Linked DNA regions of Saccharomyces cerevisiae S288C. The main gene of each other region encodes a partner of the protein of the gene in region 3 in a complex. Each region holds a gene or a part of one and is shown on either strand. Other genes may lie near its edges. The genes, in order: YPT31, SEC4 and GDI1. A codon is read from its position in the direction of its gene.

Evidence for each region.
Region 1: the proteins of GDI1 (region 3) and YPT31 are in contact, whole or in part, in a crystal structure (PDB 3CPJ), measured with the Saccharomyces cerevisiae proteins. Residues at the interface, in NP_011062.1 of Saccharomyces cerevisiae: Ile6 (codon at 2,736), Tyr44 (codon at 2,850), Arg78 (codon at 2,952), Asn81 (codon at 2,961), Thr96 (codon at 3,006), Leu99 (codon at 3,015), Ile100 (codon at 3,018), Thr105 (codon at 3,033), Arg106 (codon at 3,036), Tyr107 (codon at 3,039), Asp109 (codon at 3,045), Phe110 (codon at 3,048), Lys111 (codon at 3,051), Gln112 (codon at 3,054), Arg226 (codon at 3,396), Tyr227 (codon at 3,399), Leu233 (codon at 3,417), Met236 (codon at 3,426), Tyr237 (codon at 3,429), Glu241 (codon at 3,441), Gln244 (codon at 3,450), Ala247 (codon at 3,459), Arg248 (codon at 3,462), Ala251 (codon at 3,471), Ile252 (codon at 3,474), Gly255 (codon at 3,483), Thr256 (codon at 3,486), Tyr257 (codon at 3,489), Met258 (codon at 3,492), Leu259 (codon at 3,495); in NP_010948.1 of Saccharomyces cerevisiae: Glu49 (codon at 1,028), Trp67 (codon at 974), Asp68 (codon at 971), Thr69 (codon at 968), Ala70 (codon at 965), Gln72 (codon at 959), Arg74 (codon at 953), Tyr75 (codon at 950), Arg76 (codon at 947), Ala77 (codon at 944), Ile78 (codon at 941), Thr79 (codon at 938), Ser80 (codon at 935), Ala81 (codon at 932), Tyr82 (codon at 929), Arg84 (codon at 923), Glu113 (codon at 836), Pro203 (codon at 566), Thr204 (codon at 563), Ile205 (codon at 560), Ser206 (codon at 557), Leu207 (codon at 554).
Region 2: the proteins of GDI1 (region 3) and SEC4 are in contact, whole or in part, in a crystal structure (PDB 3CPH), measured with the Saccharomyces cerevisiae proteins. Residues at the interface, in NP_011062.1 of Saccharomyces cerevisiae: Thr5 (codon at 2,733), Ile6 (codon at 2,736), Tyr44 (codon at 2,850), Arg78 (codon at 2,952), Arg106 (codon at 3,036), Tyr107 (codon at 3,039), Tyr237 (codon at 3,429), Glu241 (codon at 3,441), Gln244 (codon at 3,450), Ala247 (codon at 3,459), Arg248 (codon at 3,462), Ala251 (codon at 3,471), Ile252 (codon at 3,474), Tyr253 (codon at 3,477), Gly254 (codon at 3,480), Thr256 (codon at 3,486), Tyr257 (codon at 3,489), Met258 (codon at 3,492), Leu259 (codon at 3,495), Leu282 (codon at 3,564), Arg445 (codon at 4,053); in NP_116650.1 of Saccharomyces cerevisiae: Ile53 (codon at 3,141), Gly54 (codon at 3,144), Ile55 (codon at 3,147), Asp56 (codon at 3,150), Phe57 (codon at 3,153), Trp74 (codon at 3,204), Asp75 (codon at 3,207), Thr76 (codon at 3,210), Ala77 (codon at 3,213), Gln79 (codon at 3,219), Arg81 (codon at 3,225), Phe82 (codon at 3,228), Thr84 (codon at 3,234), Thr86 (codon at 3,240), Thr87 (codon at 3,243), Ala88 (codon at 3,246), Tyr89 (codon at 3,249), Arg91 (codon at 3,255), Asn123 (codon at 3,351).

The regions. Positions count from the first base shown.
Region 1 is NC_001137.3:213,576-219,454, forward strand, and holds YPT31 (Rab family GTPase YPT31), read right to left. Parts: upstream 1,173-5,879; coding exon 501-1,172; downstream 1-500. Other genes in the region: CHZ1 (Chz1p), read left to right, coding at 1-323; FIR1 (Fir1p), read left to right, coding at 1,488-4,118; ZRG8 (Zrg8p), read right to left, coding at 4,482-5,879.
Region 2 is NC_001138.5:127,350-133,218, forward strand, and holds SEC4 (Rab family GTPase SEC4), read left to right. Parts: upstream 1-2,984; coding exon 2,985-3,632; downstream 3,633-5,869. Other genes in the region: proteasome activator BLM10, read left to right, coding at 1-2,561; VTC2 (vacuolar transporter chaperone), read left to right, coding at 4,461-5,869. UniProt on the Saccharomyces cerevisiae protein: Involved in exocytosis. Maybe by regulating the binding and fusion of secretory vesicles with the cell surface. The GTP-bound form of SEC4 may interact with an effector, thereby stimulating its activity and leading to exocytotic fusion.
Region 3 is NC_001137.3:436,896-443,611, forward strand, and holds GDI1 (Gdi1p), read left to right. Parts: upstream 1-2,720; coding exon 2,721-4,076; downstream 4,077-6,716. Other genes in the region: YER134C (Mg-dependent acid phosphatase), read right to left, coding at 372-908; YER135C (uncharacterized protein), read right to left, coding at 1,057-1,449; YER137C (uncharacterized protein), read right to left, coding at 4,478-4,924. UniProt on the Saccharomyces cerevisiae protein: Regulates the GDP/GTP exchange reaction of SEC4 by inhibiting the dissociation of GDP from it, and the subsequent binding of GTP to SEC4. Plays an essential role in the yeast secretory pathway.

The DNA.
Region 1 (5,879 bases), 220 kb from region 3:
AAGAGGAGACTAAGGCTAAAAATGGTTTGACGAAGAGCGAAAATAATGGTACTGTTGAAGATTCTGAATCTGATATGGACGATGCCAAGTTAGACGCATTGATGGGAAATGAGGGAGAAGAAGAAGAGGACGATTTGGCAGAAATTGATACCTCTAATATCATCACATCCGGAAGAAGAACACGCGGCAAAGTAATTGACTATAAAAAGACTGCAGAAGAATTAGACAAGAAGGAACCTAGCACAGGCTCTAAAGATGATGTAGGATATGGTGAAAAAGAAGAAGACGATGAAGACGAAGAAGACGATGATTTTAAAGAGTAGTAAGCAAAATGTCGTACATACCGGCCTCTACTTGTGTATTCTGTTTACTTCAATTTCCTATATGCGTTCTATATGTATATAAACTATATGTCAGCAGAAAATTGTAAAAATATAGCACAGAATTAAAGGGGAGAAGAGTCATTCACATGCAAGTGCGCAACTGCTGCAAAATATCTCTTAACAACAGTTATTTCCATTTGCCTTTTTGTTTTCGTTTGGTGTTGGTGTCAGACTAATCGTTGGTCCATTAGGAGCGGACGCACCATTGGCATTCCCGTTGGCACTGGAGTCACCAAGGTCCATTTGATGCTTGCTGACCTTTTGATAGATGGTATTGATTAACTCTTCAAAAGCCTTATCCACGTTTTCACTGTTCAAAGCACTTGTTTCTGTGAATAATAACTGATTTTCCTGTGCAAAAGTCTTGGACTCCTCCGTAGGTACAGCACGTAAATGGGCCAAATCAGACTTGTTACCGATAAGCCCCACTGCGACGTTGTCATCTGCATTTTCTCTTAATTCTGATAACCAATGATTACAATTTTCATATGAGCTTGATTTACTGATATCGTAAACGATCAAGGCACCTACAGCTCCTCTATAATAAGCAGAAGTAATGGCTCTGTAACGTTCCTGGCCCGCAGTATCCCAAATCTGCGCCTTGATCCTCTTGCCATCAATTTCCAAAGTTCTGGTGGCAAACTCAACCCCAATTGTAGACTTTGAATCCATATTGAATTCGTTCTTCGTAAATCTTGACAATAGATTGGATTTCCCTACCCCGGAATCACCGATCAGTACAATTTTAAATAGTAGGTCGTAATCATACCCGTAGTCCTCGCTGCTCATTGTTGAAATCCCCAGACGCCGTCAGAATCCCTTTGCTGGCCTAAACAAAGTGCCTTGTAATAAAGGTCAAATTGTTATTCGTTTCTTTCTTGAAAAGTTTTGAGTTTCCCTCTTTCTCTAATTTAGCACCCGCACACCGCAGCGGCCTGTGATATTCCGCATTGGAAAATGGTAAACAAACAACAAACGAGCCCAAACATAACAACAGTAGAATTGACGCCTAGGAACAACAATACAACATACTTACAGCAAGACTACTACCTAATTAGTGCAATTAGATTGCGCTGGGATAGATCTGAAGCTTTTTTTCCGATTATGAGCCTCCCTGTTACACCTGTCAAGAGCAAAGTGTGCAGTACATTATCGATACAACATGAGATGGACCATGATCAATGCCGTGATGTGTTGTGCCCACGCGAAAACTTACTAGCCATTAATAGAACTAATAATATAGAGAGTGTTGCTATACCGCGACAGAGATCGAGCAAGAACAAGAAACCCCATGAGCATACACAATCGCAGGTTCGATTTTCCATTCCAGATCCAAATGAAATATCACAGGACTCCCCACTGAAAATTGTATTCCCCAAGAGTGGAAATGAAACCGAAAGAAGAATGTCTACTTCATCATTACTTATGAATAGCCATGGTCATTTAGTCGACATGCACTCTAAAATACTGGTCGATGTCCCTAAAGAAGTTTGGAAGTTTCATCATAACAGGAGAAAAAAATGTGAAAGCAGGCACCGTAAAACTCGTTCTGATGTTAGGTCCAACACAAGTAGTAGTGGAAAAGAACCAAACCATTCTAGATCAAAATCATTACAGTCGATCATTGTGGATACAATGAACACATATCGTGCAACCGAGGTTGAGACCAGTATTAATGAGAATACTAGTAATATTAGCCAAGTATCTCCGCTGAATTTATCATTTGACAGGCCTCCTCCCTTAACTCCCGAAAAGAATTTATATCTCACTCCTGAATCGCCATTGAACAGATATCATTTACCAGTTCCATTAGAAATATCTCTGCCGCCCTACTTATCTCCGCAAAACAAGGATAAAAAGAGGAGTAGCTTGGTTTACGATGGGGATGGCTATAGCCAGTTTCAAGAAGGTAACACCTCATCGTCAACTGAATCTTCTCTAGAACAGCCCTCATCGTCGTATTCAGATGAAGATGATTCTATTCCATATGCCCACCATGATGTGTCTTTCGAGTTAAATAATGCAGATGCTGATAAGCTTCTTGGAATTGATGAGAACGCCAACGTCAATCTGAAGATACAAAGGAGAAATCTCAAAAACCCACAACATATTAAGAGTAAAACAGATAGGGAATGTGAGGAAAAAAACACTGAAAAAAATGTTTCGTTAAAAATTCTGTCAACACCAAATAAACTGATAGACATCCCCGACTTAGAGCACATGAAATCCCCACCAAGCACAGGTTTAAATGGGACATTAAAATTTTTCCAGCAGTTTGAACCTAGCGAGGAGCCAACTTCTCCAACTCGCCAAGTTAACCCTGAATCACTGGACAAACTCGATATGTCATTCAAATTTCCCTCCAGTACTACTAACAATAATGTGGATAAGGTACATGAAAATAGAAACTCTGGAGACACGAACAATGAAGATTTCCTGAAAGTTGATACTTCGCCTGTGAATCAATCATTTGAATCCAGAAGACAGATGTTAATAGACTTGCAAAAATCTCCGACGAATAATAATCCGAGGATACATAAACATAGGAGAAGCAGGAGCGTTCATAATATTGATGACATTTCCTTAAATTTCGAGGCAACCTCCACACCACCAGCTCCGACCTCTGCTCCCTCAATTCCTGTTGAACATTCTAACCCATGTACTTCCATTGAAATACCTAAGAGATCACCCTTACGGTTCACGTCATCTCCAAAAACATCTGATATTCCTCCTGAAGCTCAATCACCTAAAAATGGGTCCTTCCTCCAAGAAATCTCGGTACCTTCGATTCAAATTATACCAGATGAAAGTATCTCTCATACAAGAGAACCATCACCATCACTTATTGAATGCCCAGAGGATGAAAACGAAGCTTTTTCTACTGAAGTTGCTGACCATTCTATTGCAATAATTAGTGAAACAAAAAGTGTTCCATCGATAGAGCCATTCAAACCGCTATCTTCATTCAATTCATTTGGTCAAGAAATTCAAAACAAGGAACCAACTCCTTTGAACCAAACTCCTACAGACTTAATTGGTAAACAAAGAAACTGTGTGAATCCGCATTCAATTCCATTTAGTGTTTTATCTTCCAATAGCCAATCGTCACAATCGGGTAGTAGTAAATCTTCCTACAATTCTGAGTTTTCTTCCAATACTGCCATTACGGATACAACATCTCAACCTTCTGTGACCATTAACAGGTCAACTTTAGAACATAACTTTATAGAAGAAAAACGATCAATTAAAAATTTAGGTCATGGTCCTCCATCCCAGAAGAACAACTATTCGTTCCCCAGGAATAAGAATACTCCTTCAAATAGACACGATTTGGATTTTAATACCATTTACGAAAAAAGAGATGGTAAAATGGTTGAGGTTATTCTTTTAGATGAGGATGAAGATGTAGGCCTCAAAAATAACGATATATCACGAACAAGAGTCTGCCATGCTCAAAAAGCTAAAAATGAGCAACAGAAGAAACGTCTAAGCCATTGCAACGAAATTTTGGGCATGTGTGATAAAACTGCAGATGATGCAAAAAGAATTATTTATCAACTGGTAAATGAGAAGCATAAATTCTCAGAAAAAGGACAACAAACAAAGCCAAAAAAATCAAGAGTACTTCCGCCGTTGCCTTTTCCACTGTATGATGAAAAAGGGAATTCTTTGATCCCGAACAAGTATCAGTCCAGTATTCATAACGACATTCCATCTCATCGCAAACTAAAATAAAAAAAAAAAAAACAACCCTACAAATTGTTCTGGTAAACAGATTTGACCAGCTCATCGCATGAAGATTTATCGGAATGGCAATTTGCTTATTGCCTATTTTATTTTTTCATCGGACATTACAAAATTTCATATCTCTTACATGTAAGAAAAACTTCTAGTTTTTGTACTTTCTTAAAAAAACTATATTCAGACATGCCAATTCTGTAAAACAAATTAATAATATGTACTTTTATATCTACCAAAGATCATCCTTGGCACATGCAATTGATTACAAATACGAACATTACGCAAAGGTTTTAAAGCTAGTCACCTACTAGGGAAGAAATGTGGAGGCTACGGGCATAAAAAACATGCAGTATTTTCTCACGCTCTCTTTGGCGAGCTTTGAACAGAAGATGGTGTCTCCTGAATAGGGCTTAATGAGTAGTCATTTGAGAACTCCGGTGTGGGTTTAGTAAATGAATTAGTTGGTGTGATAGTTGTCGGTAAATTTGGTGAGATTACGTAGTTATCATTGCATTTTCCATCTAAACCATTCGATATTTGATGTTGTGGCGAAAGAACACTTGAAGGTTCTACGTTTTGACCAACATTATGATTTTGATATTTACTATCTCTCATTTGGGATGAAGTTTTTCGGGAGAGTGAATTGCAGTCATAAGTATTCCAATTATTACTGTTAAAGAAGGTGACAGTCTTGTTTGTAAGTTCAATCTTATTTTTCATCGGAGCTAATTCTTTAGCCCCTTGGTTGATCGTTAATTTCCCATTAAAACTATGCGTACTTCTGAAAGACGATGACACAGATGAAAAAGGAGAGACTTCTCTATTCTTGGAGCCGCCCCGTAAAGGAGATTTCAGTGTACGACGATTAAGATCATCTCTTTCAGAATCAGAGAAGTTAAAATCCTCTGGAATGCCATTAATTTCATCGATGTCGTAGTGGTCGAAATCAAAAAACTTACTTTTCTGATTGTATTCGTCTTCCTCAGCTTCATCAATGAAAAAGAGATTACTCATTGGTCTGGGGACTTCTGAATCTAAATCGCAATTTAAGTCATGATATTTTAGTGATTGAGACCTAGCTGGCGGCGGAAGAGGGGGGCTATTGAGTACAGCCGTATACTGTGGGCTCGCATAGTGCGGCTGCTGTGAATGAGAGGAATCAATAAGTTGAAACGGAGTTCTTAGTATGCTACTAGTGTCATCATCATCATCTTCACCATCATCATCGGTGATTGCAAGGGCTTGTGATTGCGCATCAGAAACGCTTGGAGTTATTACAATCTTAGCCGGTGTTTGAAGAATCTGCGAATGAGGATGATTGGGAGGATGGGATTCTGATTTGGTTTCATACAAAGAACTTTGCAGGGAGACCTGCCTTTCTGAATCATTGGATACTAAGCCGTTAGAATTGTTCCCTCCTGTCCCAGAATCACTTTCAGCGTCACTTGCACTATCATCAACATTAAATATATCTGAAAACGACTTTACTGTAGGCTTGGTAGAGCCAGTAGTACCTGTAAGGGAAGCCTTTATTGCAGAAGTGTGCTCCGTTTCATCATCCGAATTATTCCTTTTGAGAGAGAAACTATAGTTCGGCTTTCCATCACGTATGATATTTTTGTTAGATTGACTATAGATCCCCCGTGTTGATTTTGCATTTGCTGGTCCACTTTCTATACTAGGAGCTTCATCGGAAAACATATAAGACTCAGCTTCTGACATCTCTTTGTCGTCGTTATCGTCCTCATCAGACAA
Region 2 (5,869 bases), on a different chromosome or scaffold from region 3:
TTTATCCTGATATTTATAAACCAGCACAGGGAACTTTGGTACACTGTATGAAACAATTAGTTGGGTCATATGGCGTAGTCATCAATAAAATTATTCCATCATTAGAGAAAGCGATTAAGGATCATGATTATATGAAAATCCAAGTTATTTTAAATGTTTTGTTAATTAAGAAAATCCATAGGAAGCTTATGACGGATTATAAAGACATCGGCAGATTGATATTTCTGCTTATTGAATGTTGTCGTGTGAATGAATTAGAGATTGGTATGTATGCAGATAAAATCTTAACTGACATAGTGATTGGGATCAAGATTCCTTCTAGTGTATGTGTCATTTCCGATCAAGCTTTCTTACCTTTAGCACCTCCTGATGGTACTATTAATTTGCAAGTTGAAGCGGTAAAGCTTGCCAAAAAGAAAAAGCGTGAGTACTACCTCTCTCTGTTAGTGGATTTGCAGGACAAACTTTTAGACAAATTAGATAATGAAAAAGATATGGGGTGGAAGATAAGAATGTTCATTTTACGTTTTGTTACACAAATCCAATCGAACCTCGAAAGCAAACCCGATAAAAGAGCAGTATTTTCAATAATCTCCCAAATCTCCACAAAACATCCCGAAATCATACATTTGGTTGTAAAGTCATTGTTGTCGACGTGCAACAAGATAATATCTCTCTCTGACTATGAATATGACATCACCAGGGCCTATAAGAATGAATTCAATCCATCATTTGTGGAAATACTGGACACTTCGACCACAAGCTTCCCTAAAACGTTTACTGAAGAAATGAATAACTTTGATAACCCCAAGTATTTTATCGATTTGAGGGCGTATGTAGGGTGGCTATGTTGGGGAAGGCTTATGTACGTCATGTCGCCGAAAGCTTTAAAGCTCAATTTACGTGAGAATGAACTGGAAGTCCTCAAGACAGCTGGTCATCTATTGACAAGAGAATTCCTGAGAGATGTTACAATGAATTTAGTCCAAGATAATGAAACTAGGGGTGTTTTTAGTAGTGGTAACGTGTCATTTTTCTCTTTAGTAATCCTTTTGATATCATCTGGTTTCTGCGAACTGAATATGTCGGATCTCTTTGAGCTATGTGAATCCTACTATAACAAAGACGATAAGGCTTCGATGATCATGTCTGTCGAGATAGTGGCTGGCTTAGTTTGCGGGAGTAAGTTTATGTCAGTCTCTGACTTGGACAAACGTGACACTTTTATCGAAAACTTCCTAGCCAAATGTTTAGATTATGAGTTGAACCATGACGCATTTGAAATTTGGAGCACCTTGGCATGGTGGTTGCCTGCAGTCGTTGATTTAAGAAGGTCTAAAACTTTTTTTTGCCATTTTATCAACGCCGATGGCATGTTTGACCGTGAATCTGATGCAGCCACACATCAAACCTCCAAAATTTACATGCTAAGAAGTATCTTGATGAGCATGGAATTTAGAGCCCCAGATGTTGGTAAGCTATTTGATGAGTTGGTATTTGATCACCCATACGATCAGGTTCGCCAGGCTGTCGCTAAACTATTGACGACCTTAGTTCAAAATCAAAGTAATCCGTCAATTTCAGATCCAACCACATTATTAGAAGCAGAACGGAATGATCCAGATGGATTAGGGTTACCATTAAAAAGCGTCCCAGAAAAGGTGGATGCCTATATTAAGAAGCAGTTTGAGATCATTAAAAATCTGGAAGATTCCGTTGTCGGCCTGAATCCTCAACAATTTATTAAGACAGACTATTTTTACAGGACATCCACAATATTTTATTGGATCAAAGAAATGGCGAGAGGGCCTAATAAAGTTTTGTTAGTTCCATATTTAGTCGATTATGTTTTACCATTTCTGATCGGATTAGTGAAACATAAAGATGTTTGTGCTCTTGCCAGTTTAGATCCTGTTCGATTGTATGCCGGCTTGGGCTATATGCCGATCAGAAAGAACCATGTTGCCGCCATTGTTGACTATGTTTGTTCGTCAAATGTAGCACTATCTTCAAACCAAACGAAACTACAGCTAGCTTTCATCCAACACTTTTTATCAGCGGAACTGCTTCAACTTACTGAGGAAGAAAAGAACAAAATTTTGGAATTTGTTGTCAGCAATTTGTATAACGAACAGTTTGTAGAGGTGAGAGTTCGTGCGGCATCCATTTTGTCTGATATCGTCCATAACTGGAAAGAGGAACAGCCGTTGTTGAGTTTAATCGAGAGATTTGCAAAGGGTCTCGACGTCAACAAATACACGTCGAAAGAAAGACAAAAGTTATCCAAAACGGATATCAAGATTCATGGTAACGTTTTGGGTTTGGGAGCTATTATATCAGCGTTCCCCTATGTTTTTCCCCTACCGCCATGGATACCCAAGCAACTAAGCAACTTATCCTCGTGGGCCAGGACTAGTGGTATGACTGGACAAGCTGCCAAAAATACTATTAGTGAGTTCAAGAAGGTGAGGGCCGACACTTGGAAGTTCGATAGAGCATCTTTCAATACGGAGGAACTGGAAGACCTGGAGGGTGTCCTATGGAGAAGTTACTATGCCTGATTCATATTAGTATAGGATATTAAGCACATATCTAGACATATATGTACATCTAAACAAATAGCTGGAGCTATCTGCTGATTAGTTTTACTCTAAAAGTAAGTTGTTAGTGTAACTATGATCACGGCTGCGTGCCGGGTAATAAATCAATTTTGAGGAAAACTGGAAGTTCACCACTGAGAATGATCAACGGCAGGGAAACGTTATACCAAACAAAGCATTCTACCTCTAGGGAAGCTGGAAACTTGAATTACCCACTATAGCTTGTCTTTTAGTGATCCATTATTCCAACCTATTGCAATTCCAAGAAAATAAACTAGGAACTTTTTTTTTTGGAAGAATAAGAAAAGGAGAAAAAGTAGACATACTGTATATACACGAGGGCGTATCGTTCACCAGAAAGAATATAAACATAACAAGATAAACATGTCAGGCTTGAGAACTGTTTCTGCTTCATCCGGTAATGGAAAGAGCTATGACTCTATTATGAAAATTTTATTGATTGGTGATTCTGGTGTTGGGAAATCATGTTTATTGGTTCGTTTTGTTGAAGACAAATTTAACCCGTCATTTATCACCACCATTGGTATTGATTTCAAAATAAAGACTGTCGATATCAACGGTAAGAAGGTAAAGCTGCAACTTTGGGATACCGCTGGTCAAGAACGTTTCCGGACAATCACCACAGCGTATTATCGTGGTGCTATGGGTATCATTCTTGTATATGATGTGACAGACGAGAGAACATTTACTAATATCAAGCAATGGTTTAAAACCGTTAATGAGCATGCGAACGATGAAGCACAGCTACTGTTGGTTGGTAACAAGAGCGATATGGAGACGAGAGTGGTAACAGCTGATCAAGGTGAAGCCTTGGCTAAGGAGCTGGGTATACCATTCATCGAGTCCAGTGCTAAGAACGATGACAATGTCAACGAGATTTTTTTCACCTTGGCGAAGTTAATCCAAGAAAAAATCGACAGTAACAAGCTTGTTGGCGTCGGTAACGGTAAAGAGGGCAATATTAGCATCAATAGTGGGAGCGGAAACAGTTCTAAATCAAATTGCTGTTGAAGAAAAGAAGATTTTTGCTTCTTTGAGAATTAATCGTGAACTGGAATTAGAGCTATAAATCGCTTGATTCTTTTTTCCCTTTTTCTCAATATTCGCAGGTTATTTTTCCTTTATATATATACATTGTTTGTATCTTTTTTTGATTACCATACTTACTATTTTTATATTAGTCATATTAGATGTCACTTTTATATTATCTAAACAATTCAAACTTCTCACACTAACTTTTTCAGCATACTTCTACTGTTGTTCTCTGCTCTGGAAGGTATTTTCATCAGGCGATTGGTAAAAAATCAAGAAAGAATCTAAAAAATAGTGCAACAGGAAAACGAGGTTCCCAGTTTCCCTGGGAATTCTTATCCAAGTATATATTTTACTTTTAAGATTCAGCACTTTTATTTCGTTCTAATGTTTTTACCGGTAGTAAAGTTTTGCTTCTTGAATCCACTATTCAACTACTTGCGCTTATGTAAGGTTCCTGTATGGTTGCATAATCACTCAATTCGAAAAAAAAACCCACGTGCTGCTTGGAAATGAATCCGCACTGCGGTATAGCACTTCCAGAAAGATACTGACTGCGAAATTCGCTTTATGGAGTGTTTAAGCAATTGGTATCTTACCCATTAAGAGTCATTTCTTTCTTCTTGCCAACTTTTTTCCATCCTATTATGACCTCAAAAAAGGCAGGCTCTCTTCGTCTTATCTTTTCTATCGGAAGCGAATTACTGGGAAAGAGGCATAGGTATAAACAGATAAAATAGACGAAAAGAGTTTAGAAAAAAAAGTAGAAAGAACGACTACACCTCAACATAACGACACTTTTTTGACATGCTGTTTGGAGTGAAGTTGGCTAATGAGGTTTATCCTCCTTGGAAGGGTTCTTATATTAATTATGAGGGCTTGAAAAAATTCCTGAAGGAAGATAGCGTGAAGGATGGAAGTAACGATAAGAAAGCACGCTGGGACGATTCAGATGAATCCAAGTTTGTGGAAGAGTTGGATAAGGAACTTGAAAAAGTCTATGGTTTTCAACTAAAAAAGTACAATAACTTGATGGAGAGATTGTCCCATCTGGAGAAACAAACAGATACGGAAGCAGCCATAAAGGCCTTGGACGCTGATGCATTCCAACGTGTATTGGAGGAACTGTTAAGCGAGTCTACCGAATTAGACAATTTTAAGAGATTGAACTTTACTGGGTTTGCTAAGATTGTTAAGAAACATGACAAGCTATATCCAAAGTATCCATCTGTTAAATCTTTGTTGGAAGTTAGATTAAAGGAATTGCCTTCCCATTCGGAAGAATATTCCCCATTGTTGTATCGTATTTCATTTTTGTACAACATTTTGAGAAGTAATTTTAACACTGCATCTGAACCCTTAGCCAGCGCTTCTAAGTTTTCTAGCATTGTCAGCAATGACATAGACATGAATTTCAGAAGCTTTAAATTTTGGGTTCATAATGACAACTTAATGGAGGTCAAAACAAGAATCTTGAGACATCTTCCCGTGTTGGTCTACGCCAATGTTCCCTCCGAAAACGATGACCTGGTCAATAGATTCGAATCAGATATATCAAATAATGATGAAATTGTGGGTAGTTCGAGCTCCACTAGTAGCGTAGAACATGGCTTGGGAGCGCGCTCCTTCGATCCATTAATCAACACGCTATATTTTGACAATGAGCATTTTGAATTATATAACGACAAGTTATTAAAGTTAAATTCAGCACCTACTTTAAGATTAAGGTGGACTGGCCAGTTATCTGATAAGCCGGATATTTTCTTGGAAAAGAAAACTCTTATTGAAGACGAAGCCACTGGGAAGTCTGAATTTGATCTAACTAAATTGCAATTGAAACAAAAATTCATTAACGGGTTTATTTTCGAAGGTGATAAGAAATTTAAAGAACAAACTTTGAAAAAGTTAAAAGAAAGTGGTACGGCAGGGAGAGACCTGGAAAGGTTAGAAGAAGATTTCTCTGAGATTCAAAACTTTATTATCAAGAATGAATTGCAACCAGTTTTTAGAACTGTTTACACCAGAACTGCTTTCCAGATTCCCGGCGATGACAAGATAAGAGTAACCATTGACTCTAATATTGTATTCATCAAGGAGGATTCATTCGACAGAGAGCGTCCAATTAGAGACCCTAATACCTGGCATAGAACTGATATTGATGCCAATGTTGCAAATCCCTTGAAATTCCTGAGAGGAGGCGAGTATGCTAAGTTTCC
Region 3 (6,716 bases):
TTTCGTACACTTAAAATTCAAACGCTATCAGTAGCATTACAACGTGTATGAAGATCATTGGAGAAAAGCAGATGGTTAAGAGCTTCTTGCACTGAAATTTGAAAATATTTGTCTGAACTTAGTAGTGAAAAGTGGTGAATGAACCAGGTTTTTATACATAGATATATGGTTAAGTTATGAAAACTCTTTTTGGAAGAACAAATTAGTACAAAGGCTGAGGCGGATTGGTTAAAGTTTTTAAATTAAAAGTGAGCTTCTATTTTGATAAATCACAAATATATAATTTTTAACAGTGATGTATCATCTTCCCATAAATGTAATGACTTCTTCTTATGCTCAGATGATGCTCTGTGAACTAAGTGCGCAGTCCTTCAAACCTTTCCACTCAGGTAATCTTGATAAAGTTTCCAAGATGGTCCATTCTCTGGGTCTCTTACATAAACAAACTTCACTCCGTATTTCTCCACTTCTTTGTTTCTACTTTCATCATCAAATAAACAAATCTTTTTCGATTTTAAATCGCTGGTATTATAAAGATCTTTCAAACCGTCCCTTAAATGGCCAATTTTACTTCTTTCTCCCCACTGAAATTCATCGAACAGGTTGGCCAACGGGGTTACGACACCAGCATACTTGACCTTGAATATTTTCAGTATTTCCTGGGCAATCTCAGGTGCCCACGTTCGTGACGCGGTCATTAACTTAACTCCATTATCTTTAAGATCACCTAGTATACGTGGGATATCTTTGTAGATTGTGAGCTCGTAACCATCTCTACATATAATTGTGAGAACTTCGCCATTACTACTTTTAACTGGCTTAAAGGGACCGTGCAAATGGGTATCACAATAGCAGGGCCAAATGGTGTAGTCCAAATCGAAGGCGGCCACGTCAGGGTATCCAGTCATAATAAACGCGTTGAGACTATTTTGGAGCAGGATTTGTAACAAAATTGTTCTCTTTGTAAGTTTAAGGACAAAAATGCTTGTTTCTCGAGAAGGTCTCCTTTTCGGCAGGTCCTTCTTCTAGTGCGTGAAAAATATTCTACTCAATCCCTTAGTATTCTTTGTAAACAATACACTTTAAAGAAATATGAATGCTTATCTGCTTTTCAACAATCATTTTAGAGTTCTTATTCACTGAGGTGCGAATGGGTACGAAATTTGTTTCAGGAGAATTTAGCTTGTTGCACACAAATTTCTGCCATTTATATCTGCAAGATCTGTTTCCCTCTTTCCAACTAGCGAGGCATATTAGAAAAAGAGTGAATAGTAACTTGTGTAAGTTTTGATGTAACGGTAGTATAGAGTACCTATAATATTCGCCGATTATATTCTCAAAACTTGTAAATAACGCCATGTCACCGTATGGAGAAAGTGCTAACCAAATTGTAATATCGACCAAGACCTTTTTCTGTGAATTATGTAAGTTTCTTAAAGTCCATGTCATGCTTGAAAGATTTTAATCAACCTTGCATTTGTGGTCGTTAAACTCAAAGGGGATATTCAAACGACAATCGACAACTAACTTCGAATAAACTAAGATTCACTTTATTGGGATATAATCAATTACCCTTCATTAAGTGGTGTATATGTTCCTGACGTATTGTCATTTTCGGGATAAGAGGTTTGATGACTATTTCTCGATTTTCATGTCATCCTCTTTACACCGTACGTGATAATACACTAATTACACGATATAACTGAGCAATGATATTTTAGAGCTTCATCTCCACAATTTCATGTGTAAATCTTAAGAATTGTAGATATATTCTATTTTTTAATGAAACTTTTTCAACAAATTAGGTTTCGTGGTCTAGTCGGTTATGGCATCTGCTTAACACGCAGAACGTCCCCAGTTCGATCCTGGGCGAAATCAATTTTTTTTTTCGAAAACGTTATAATTTACGTTAATTTACAAAGGGCATTCCTTTCATACTAAGCAATGTTTACTTCCAATCTCTTGAGACATCTTCGAAACTAGTTGAAAAGAGACAAATCCGCTTAATAACTAATAGTTACAAGAATGGCCAATCAAACTCTTGCCAAGCGATACAAGCTTTACAATCCTGTAACAAAAACATACTTTTAGCGGTTCCGACGGTATTCTTCTTTTTCTCCATATATTTTGCTTATGTTGGCTACTTTAAAATAATTACCGCTTCCCCCACCAGAAACTAAACATGAGCTAAAGGCGCAAAACTTAAAAAATTACATAGCCAAGACTGTTTTCAAGAAAAAAATATCAGACCACATTTGATAAAGTACATACCTCTGTTAACTCCCGTAATACACCCATATTCTTGTACTTTCTACAATCTATCACTCAAACTTCTCTATTATCCAACATCTGCTGTTGCATAGTAAAGTAGGCCGTAAACGCTCAAAACCGTTATCTTTAGGTTACCCTTATGTTTGAATCGTTTATCTCACATTGGCGGTGTTTTCCCCTCTCCTGTGGGCTCCAAAATCTTGGCCGTGGGAAGCTTCAGCGAGGGATTGTAGATGTAGTTTCAACACGTCGGCTGATTTATCCCGATTTTGTTAGTAGAAAAGGTTCTACTTCATTCTTGCTTGAGACGTCGTCCCATCAAATTTCTAACATAGTCTTTTTTCAAGGAAGGATATTTTTCAAAGCAGGACTGCAATTAGTCTTTTCCTTTTCTTTACTCCCCTTCCATCATAACTGTTAGTGAATAACCACTTATATAGCATAACACAATGGATCAAGAAACAATAGACACTGACTACGACGTGATTGTCTTAGGTACCGGTATTACCGAATGTATCTTATCTGGTTTACTCTCTGTAGATGGAAAAAAGGTATTACATATTGACAAGCAAGACCATTATGGTGGCGAAGCTGCTTCTGTGACCTTATCTCAATTGTATGAAAAATTTAAACAAAATCCGATCAGTAAAGAGGAACGGGAGTCCAAGTTTGGTAAAGATAGAGATTGGAATGTCGACTTAATTCCTAAATTCCTGATGGCCAATGGTGAGCTGACAAATATTTTAATACATACCGATGTGACCAGATATGTCGATTTCAAGCAAGTTTCTGGCTCCTACGTTTTTAAGCAAGGCAAAATTTACAAAGTGCCAGCTAATGAAATAGAAGCCATTTCATCGCCATTGATGGGTATTTTTGAAAAACGTAGAATGAAGAAATTTTTAGAATGGATTAGCTCTTACAAAGAAGATGACTTGTCCACTCATCAAGGATTAGACTTAGACAAGAATACCATGGATGAAGTGTATTATAAATTTGGGTTAGGCAATTCTACCAAAGAATTCATCGGTCATGCAATGGCTTTATGGACCAATGATGACTACTTACAACAACCTGCTAGGCCATCGTTTGAGAGGATTTTGTTATATTGCCAAAGTGTTGCCCGTTACGGTAAATCACCTTATTTGTATCCTATGTATGGGTTAGGCGAACTTCCACAAGGATTTGCTCGTTTGTCGGCTATTTACGGTGGTACTTACATGCTAGACACTCCAATTGATGAAGTATTGTATAAAAAAGACACAGGAAAATTTGAAGGGGTCAAGACTAAGCTGGGAACTTTCAAGGCCCCATTGGTTATTGCTGATCCAACTTATTTTCCCGAAAAATGTAAATCTACTGGTCAAAGAGTTATTAGAGCCATCTGTATTCTTAACCATCCAGTTCCGAACACCAGTAACGCGGATTCTTTACAAATTATTATCCCACAAAGCCAACTGGGAAGGAAAAGCGATATATACGTTGCGATTGTTTCAGATGCGCATAACGTTTGCTCCAAGGGTCACTATTTAGCAATTATTTCTACAATCATTGAAACTGATAAACCACATATAGAATTAGAGCCTGCTTTCAAACTTCTGGGACCAATCGAAGAAAAATTCATGGGAATTGCCGAATTATTTGAACCAAGAGAAGACGGCTCTAAGGATAACATTTACTTATCCAGATCATACGACGCATCCTCTCATTTCGAATCCATGACTGACGATGTTAAAGATATTTACTTCAGAGTAACAGGCCACCCATTAGTTCTAAAACAAAGACAAGAACAAGAAAAGCAGTAAATTCATACCTTTACGACTAAAGCAGCAATTGGAGGGTAAACTTATTTTTTCCGATAATGTTCTTGGCAAATGAGTTACCAATAAATGACATGAATTACAGAAAACAAGAAAATATTTGCCAAAAAAAAACCAATACAAAAATATAGGGGAAAAGATTATCCTTTATTCCTTTCTCATTCCACTTTTTTTTTTTGTTATATGCGTATTCTGATTGATTCATAACTAAGTATCTTTCCTTTTCTTTTCTTTCAATTTCTTTTTTCCATATATAAATACATAAATTTACATACCTTATGTAGTATAATATATGGAAGAATGCTACTGAACACATCAGTACACATGCTATGTACTTACAATCTTAGTAAGGTAGATGTAGGTCTAATGCTTCGATGATCCCTTCATTATTTCTTGGGTATAACTGTCAGTCTCGCACCGCAGTGTGCCCTTGTGTGGCCAGCCTCGTGACAAAATGAACATTTTATCTTATTTTTTTTCTTTTTACTACTCTTTTTGCTGGTTACTCCCTGAATAGTGCTCGTAGTTTTATCTGCCTCTTCCTTGGCTTTAATCGGTATCAGGGCATATTTTTGATCGTCTTTTTCCATGATCTCTATTCCATTCCGCAGTACCATGTCAAGAACACTAGTATTCATCATACTTCCCACAGTGCTTTCATGCAATCCCAGTAGTAGGTTAATGAATTTCTCTAATTCTTTCAACTTATGCTCGTACTCAACTTGTAATTGTGATCCATCTTTTTGCTTTGAAATGATCAACTTAGCCAGGACATCCATAGCTTGTGACAATCTGACTATATCATTTTCAGTCTTATTTGATGATTCACACATTCCTTGTTATAACAACCCTCGGTATTCTTTTAACAAACTTACGATGACTATATTGTATTAGTGTCAACCTCATCGCCAGGAACTTTTCATTGAAAATCTTCTGACAAATTTTCTGTGTAAAGGAAAGAAAATGGAGTATAAAATCGAAAGTTTATTCCAATTGTGCTAGGCTGTAATGGCTTTCTGGTGGGATGGGATACGTTGAGAATTCTGGCCGAGGAACAAATCCTTCCTCGCGGCTAGACACGGATTGCACGCCCTTTGGGCAAGGGATAGTTCTCTATTCCGCACCGTGCCCTGTTGTGGCAACCGTCTTTCCTCCGTCGTAAATTTGTCCTGGGCAGAGCTGTCTGCCCGGAGGCGGGAGAGTCCGTTCTGAAGTGTCCCGGCTATAATAAATCGATCTTTGCGGGCAGCCCGTTGGCAGGAGGCGTGAGGAATCCGTCTCTCTGTCTGGTGCGGCAAGGTAGTTCTGGGTCCTTAGGGGCTCCACCTTCACCGCTGTTAGGGGAGTTTTATCCAGCGTCAGCAAAGGTGACCCGTGATGGAGGCGGCCGGGATAGCACATATCAGTCGGATAATTGTGCAAGTTGATCGCTTCGGCGGTTTAATTTGGCGGTGCCATCAGGATTTACTCGCACATTGTGGCCGTTCCCTCGGGGATGGAGTGTGTCCTGAACCATATTTTTTAACATTTTTTTGAACTAATTAACCGTCCCAATGAGGGATGTTGGAAGAGTAAGTTGATTTAATGTCCTATTCTTGTTCTTTTCGAATATAAATGACGATTGGAAGGTGCATGTCAATGTTTATCATCATGTTCTTGTTGTAGGTAGTCCTTACCTTGGTTGTAGAGTGAGTAGCGACAGGCGGCAGCGGAATATAAGAAGGATAAAATGAGAATACTTAGAACGTGTTGAAAGAAGAATAAACGATCATCCATCGACTAGTACTGCTGCTACTAGTGTGCTGTCATACTACTAATATATTATCATATACAATATAAGAAGATGTCATAAACATTGAAAATAGTCATCAAATCTAATGGAAGCTGAAATTCAAGGGTTGATAATGTAATAAAATAAAGAATGACAAAGTATAAAAGGAAGAAGATAGAGTAACATTATTATGTAGAGCTATCAATTCGCTTTTTGTAGATTCCTATTTTTTCTCGAGGAGAATTGCAGCATATTCGTTCCACGTAATATTGCGGCCTTTAACAACAATGTAATTCCAACAATTATCTTAAAATTTGTCTATATTTTTAAAAAAGTATGAACAATTACCAACATGTGGTACATATTGGAGGCCCGCAAAGCTGAGTTGGCATTCATTCATTCTTTAAGTTGAACAAAAAGACAAAAAGATTTTCAAAAAAAATATGGTCTCTAGCGGGATCGAACCGCTGATCCCCGCGTTATTAGCACGGTGCCTTAACCAACTGGGCCAAGAGACCAAATTTTAATGAAATACTTTTACTGGAAAGAAGGTAACAAACCATGGAAGATGCTTTTCTACCACCCATGAAAGTCTGAGATTTTTATTAATGATGTTGGAATAAAAATCAACTATCATCTTGAGAAATGGGTGAATAATTAGATAATTGTTGGGATTCCATTGTTGATAAAGGCTATAATATTAGGTATACAGAATATACTAGAAGTTCTCCTCGAGGATATAGGAATCCTCAAAATGGAATCTATATTTCTACATACTAATATTACGATTATTCCTCATTCCGTTTTATATGTTTATATTCATTGATCCTATTACATTATCAATCCTTGCGTTT